Tribolium castaneum: one gene and its partner. The protein of the gene in region 1 purifies or fractionates together with the protein of each later gene. This does not show direct contact. Links are inferred from orthologs where the notes say so. Each region holds a gene or a part of one and is shown on either strand. Other genes may lie near its edges.

Region 1 (2,947 bases):
AAATTCACTAGCGCCTTCTTCTTTAGTGCCAATTGTTTCTTCTTGAGTAGGCTCTTCAAAACTTAACGCAGAAGTGATTGCTTCCTTAAGCTTCATTATTATATTCTGGTTTTTTAATTTAGCGTCTGATGCTATTATCAATGTTCTAAATTCAATGCAACTGTTTAGTTTGTGGAGACACTCTTTACACACCGACTGTGGGAAATCATCTTCAGGAGAAATCTGCACAAAAGCATAGCAAATATAAAGGAAACTCACAGAAAAGAATTACTTTAACTTCTGGTGCAAAACTCATTACTGCATCGCAGATAATTTCATTACCTCGTCCAACAAAGCCAGATTCAAAAAGGTTGACAGAGGAGCCCGGTTCAGTTTTAATTAAACAAAAACGACACTTAAAATCCATTTTATCGCAAAAAACCTATCTTTTAAATAGTCGTAAATCTAAGGTTATGATTAAAGTTGTTGATGTTTTTGACTTGTCACCACTATGACGCCGCGAAAAACCCTAGCAAGTTTTAAATTTCTCTTCAAAAGTTAAAAAAACGAACTAATGATAATACTCAAAAAGTATATTTATGCAAAAAACAATTATAATAAATATATACACTTTTTTAATAAATCCCTAGAGGTGGAGGTCCCCCAAAGACACAATTCCACGAACTTGGAAATTTTATCTCCGTCACATTACACTTTGTAAAGCCGTTAACAAACTTGTTCAACACATTTATGCAAGCAATTGCGTCAGGTCTGTTGTCACCCTCTGACACGTATTTGATCAAAACTGTACACTCAAAATTACTCTCCAACACCTCAAATAACTTGACTGCAAACCCAGATCCGTGGACCAAGTATTTGCCGTTAAACTCCACTTCCTTCGGCTTCACGTTTAAGCTTTTCATCACATCGGTAATTTCCTGGTTACTGATGTAGTAGAATTTGTTGCTACTAACCACATGCAACTCGTAGTCAAAAGAACTTGCGAGAATTACAATGCTTTTGATTTTAAACTGCGTGAGGGAGTTTTTCAAGTCTGTGAAGAACTTGGTGGCGAGTTTCGCATTTATGGCTGAACGCAGTTGAATAAGGGCTACTTTTAAATCTTCCTTGATGTATAGTTCGCATGCTGTGCATATTTCGGGCCCGTCTGTTCGATAAGGGTCCGATCCCACGGAGGAAACGATGGCGGGGTGCCAGATAGTGGCCACTTTCTTGAAATTTAGGGATGTTATCAGCAAGTCGATTGTAAGTTGGGGCACATTCCCGACGGAAACACTGGGGATCAGTAAAGTGAAGCCCTCCAAGTTGGGTTTTTGGCTGAATTTAAATAATTCGGCCATAATTATGATGCTCACAAGCCACAAAAATGTTTATTTTGAATAGGAAAAGTAAGGTTAATGACAAGCAAATAATTTTTGACAGTTGACGCTTACAGGCACCTGCATTACCCCATGCGGCCCAAGTTCATTATCATTATTATTTATTTTAAAATTTGCACCCACAATCTTTAAATATTTTTGTTTTCATTTTATTTCTAATCGCTTTATGTAAGCACAAATGTCTTGATAAAAGTGCCTCCTAATATTGGAGGTATCACATGTCTGAGAAAAACAGTCGTGCCACACTTCTACCACCATTAATTGTAAAATTGATAATAAACCATCAATTAAACCATTAATGATCTAGAAACACTCTTATTTAATTCTAATAAATTTTTGAGGTCCTAATTTGTATTAGTTTTCTCCACATAATACAAGTTCATTCTTTAATTTCCCACCACACAAAAACAGCAATAGCAATAAGACTACTGTTGTACTTACCGTAGATACAGATTAAGGCCGTAGGTATAAATTGTGAAAAAATAATAAACACAAACCACAGACCACACACAGAGATTAGAGGTGACACAAACAAGACTTTTCCCACGTTTTAATTTGTGTTGGTTGGTTCCACTGTTCTCAAAACGGCCGGTACATTTCAACCTTGCATTCCAATATTCTCAAAATTTCTGAACTTTCAACATCCTCATCGTGGTACGAATGCAAAATTCGCAAATTATTTTGAGAGGAACGGAATACTTTGAAAATGTTTTAAATACATAATACCATGGGTTGGCAGCGCTCACAGCATGGCCGGTGAATCCTGCACTCCATTGGCCAGTTCAAATCTGGTACAGCCGCTCCACAATTTGTGGGCACCTAACGTTTTTTCTTGGCGGTAAAAACCACTCAAGTGATTTTCTTGCTTATTTTCGTGTAAAAATGTCTCATTTAATGAGAATTTTACGTGCCGATGAGCGCGAGCGCGCATCTCAAGACACCCGAGCCACCAGCACACCTCAGAGTGGGTCCCCCAATGTCTCTTCCCCAAGTATTTCCACCATTTCAAGGGGAGAAGAACCGATGGGAGATGAAAACAACAACGATAATACCACAAGTGGAACTATCGATTACGGAACATCATCTCCGTCCGAATGTAAAGTTTAAAACAAATATATAGTCATAAACATAACTGGTTTGTAGCTCCTTCAGAAGCTTCGATCATTAGAGATCGAACTGTAAAACCTCTCAAATGGGAGAATTTCTGGAGCGCCTTGAAACCAAAAAATGAAGAGAGCCTTTATTTTAAAATAATGACTCAACCTGACCAGTTAGAAGTAAAGGTAACAGTTTTTGTTACACTGACTACATTTTATCGCTTTTAGAGCATCGCAATTGAGCTGATGGACGCCTACAAGTCCAATAAAGAAACTGCTATTATTTCCATTCTCCAGCTTTTTGTCGACCTGAGTGGTTACAAAAAGTTATCAATTGGCGCAGTTTACGATTTTGAGCGGGAAAATGCAAGTCAAGTCGTCCAGCAAATGCAGTATGACTTACTGGAGGAAGAACTTAAAGTAAACTAGGCACAAAACCATCAGGAATTAATTCACTTATTATTTGTAGAA
Region 2 (3,099 bases), on another chromosome or scaffold:
ACCCTGAGGCTGGTATTTTCGGTTTAGTTTCAAAAATGTGTAATTATGCGCTTTTATTGATTTGCCATTCAAAATCTAGTGGAGGTGGGGAACAAAATCATTCATCTCAAAGAAAAAGTAATGATTTGGTTCCTGACCCAGAAACAAACATGCACAAAAAGTCTTACTATAATGATAGAAATTTCTATTATGTACTTAAAAATCACATAAATGCTATTGTAAAGAGTTTATATTTTATATATTTACCAATATTAGAGACTGTTACATTATAGATTTTTAAAACTGTTACTTATGTACTTTATGCTAGTTTTAGAACCGCATAGAAATACATTCCGTCCAAGATGATCTGTGTTTACATATTTTTAAAAATAAAACAATCATGTTTCATATTAGACATTTTTTCTGTTTTCCTCTTATTATTATATTACACCAAGTACTAACCATTTTTCATTACAATTTAAAACAGGTAACACCAGGTAAGAATTAATTTTCATTATTGTATGAATCTAATAATGCTTTCACCGCACTTAAACAATTGTCGCTTCCGTGCTGTAGTGCGATAATGCTTATGCTTTTTTGGCTGCTAACTGTTGGTTTCATTGCATTCTCAAAAAATGTTAATCAGAAGATTGTGTAAAGCATGAACTCATCGTCACAAACGTGACAAGAATTATAATGCATTAAAGACTTAAAAAATTACTTCCCTTTAATGTTTTAAGTGTTTACTAATTATCCCCCCAATTCTTACATTTTTATTTTACAGGACCATGCTTGATTTGCTTCTACATGTCAGATCGTAATGTTCAGGCTCACACTGACGTTAATCCAATGCATTACCCCCTGTAATTCACACTTTCATAAAATCCGTATTGTTACACTGGTTTTTGGTCAAATAAGTTAAAGTATTGTACTATTATTTTATTAAAAATATAGATAACAACGCAATACTGATTATTCTCAACTCCTTAAAGCATTTGCCGACGTTTCCCTAATGGTGGCAATTTGTGAAGCAATATCTTTTTGCAATGCCTCCATTTCATGTTTTAAATTGTTGAGTATGTTAGAACTTTTTTCCAAGTCCTGCGTACCTTTTAGGAACTCCTCGATTCTCTCAAACTTGGTCTCTCTGGGGGGCCTCTCATCCAGACACCAGTACAGCTTACTCCTCTGGTCTTCGACCCTATAAACGGCCTCGATGTCATCAATTACCTGCTGCCGGGTCATGGAGAATTTATTTCTTTGTGGAACTGTGCTACTTCTAAACATTTTTATGATTTTAAGTAGAACAAAACAACGTGCCCCCTTATCACGTGACTTACGTCATTTTGTGCCATGTGACATGCCAACACCATTTTTGGTGCTGTTTTCACCGACATCCAAGTGACAGCTAAAATCCCTAGAATTAAAATTTACGAATCATTTTGCCGACTTGTCTCCCATAAACAAAGCGTAAAATGTCGGTTTTGTGCCCCGAAATTGCGCCCCCAGGTTTTTCATTCGCCAACTGCAAGCGGTAAGTTTACAAAAACGTAATAGTTCCGCTTGTTTGTGAAATTGTGACCCGTGTTTTGCCTTGTCATCAACATAACCTCTTCCAGAAATGCTACCCTCGAAAGTAAAGGCTTTCCGGTGCCCAAAGCCACCAAAACCGGGACCACAATTGTGGGAATCACTTACAAAGACGGGGTGATTCTGGGGGCTGACACCCGAGCCACAGAAGACACCACCGTGTCGGATAAAAACTGCGAAAAAATCCACTACCTCGCCTCCAATATGTAGTAAGTGTTGTTAACTCGACCACCGACGAGGGTTAAATTAATTAAACGTAGTTGTTGCGGGGCTGGGACTGCGGCCGACACGGAACAAACCACCCAAATGATTTCCTCGCAACTCGAGCTGCACCGTTTGTTCACCAATCGAACCCCCCGAGTGGCCACCGCCAACCAAATGCTTAAACAGTACCTCTTCCGCTATCAGGGGTACATTGGCGCAGCCCTAGTTCTTGGGGGAGTGGACGTCACTGGGCCCCACTTGTATTCAATTTACCCGCACGGTTCCACAGATAAACTGCCGTACACTACCATGGGATCAGGCTCTCTTGCCGCAATGGCAGTGTTTGAGTCGCGCTGGAAGCCCGATTTGGACGAAGAGGAAGGGGTCAAGTTGGTACGGGATGCTATCGCCGCTGGTATTTTCAACGATTTGGGGTCGGGGTCTAACGTGGACGTGTGCATAATTCGGAAGGGGTCTGTTGATTATCGCCGCACTTACGACGAGGCCAACAAAAAGGGGGTCCGCCAGTCGTCCTACCAGTACCCCAAAGGGACCACTGCGGTTTTAAAAAGTAAAGTAATCAAGGTTGATGTGGTTGACGTTGCCGTTCATCCCATTGAGGCCGAACAGATGGACACGGCTTAAATCAATTAAATGTTTTTCACATAAATACATTTATTCAGTTCATAATAAAATATATAAAAATGATTAATTTGTTCAATATCAATATGAGTATCAAATTTGCTGTCATGGAACAATTGCTAATTTTTATGAACTATGAAGTCCCAAGTGTCTTTCCATCTCAGATCAATAATGTCATTTGTAGTTAACGGGGTTGTACCATAACACAATACTATAAATTTCATAAAAACGTAAAATATGCAACAAATCCATAAAAATATGAGTAATATAAAAATATACTTTATGACCCTAATTTTAAAAATATCACTAATTGTTGAATAAACGTGTTCAAGCAGGGCCGCTAATAGCAGCGTTTTGAACGTAAATGCGGGCAAATAGTGGTGTAGAAAGAGCGTCCGCTCCACGAAAAAATACGGTAGATAATGGAACAAATAGCCTGTAAAAAATAACTCTCCAATCAACTGAAATTGTTCCCATTTTTTCGTATCAAGGTCGTAACACTGTCTCCGTCGACGAAGAAGATAGAAGACAAGTAGAGTTGAGTAGGTGGCAAGGCCGGCACTTCCGGAATACCAGAGCAAGAGATTTCCAATTAGATGTATTTGCGCCTGTAATTAATCGTTATTACAAGCCAAGTGCTAAAGTCATTAATATTGGTTAGTAATAATAATAATAATAGTGTTC

The links.
Region 2: the proteins of proteasome assembly chaperone 2 (region 1) and proteasome subunit beta type-7 purify together in Homo sapiens (affinity purification with mass spectrometry; 3 studies listed by BioGRID and IntAct, counting the BioPlex papers as one, with this or other methods). This does not show direct contact. The link is inferred for Tribolium castaneum from reciprocal best matches to the Homo sapiens genes PSMG2 and PSMB7.

Annotation. Positions count from the first base shown.
Region 1 is NC_087394.1:29,412,998-29,415,944, reverse strand, and holds proteasome assembly chaperone 2, read right to left. Parts: upstream 1,442-2,947; 5' UTR 1,341-1,441; coding exon 615-1,340; 3' UTR 555-614; downstream 1-554. Other genes in the region: zinc finger protein OZF, read right to left, coding at 1-222, 272-406; uncharacterized protein LOC100142369, read left to right, coding at 2,262-2,475, 2,523-2,656, 2,705-2,896, 2,946-2,947. UniProt on the Homo sapiens protein: Chaperone protein which promotes assembly of the 20S proteasome as part of a heterodimer with PSMG1.
Region 2 is NC_087398.1:8,316,466-8,319,564, reverse strand, and holds proteasome subunit beta type-7, read left to right. Parts: upstream 1-1,353; 5' UTR 1,354-1,454; coding exon 1,455-1,513; intron 1,514-1,598; coding exon 1,599-1,778; intron 1,779-1,829; coding exon 1,830-2,418; 3' UTR 2,419-2,481; downstream 2,482-3,099. Other genes in the region: uncharacterized protein LOC659493, read left to right, coding at 764-846; rt (protein O-mannosyltransferase 1), read right to left, coding at 2,535-3,023. UniProt on the Homo sapiens protein: Component of the 20S core proteasome complex involved in the proteolytic degradation of most intracellular proteins. This complex plays numerous essential roles within the cell by associating with different regulatory particles.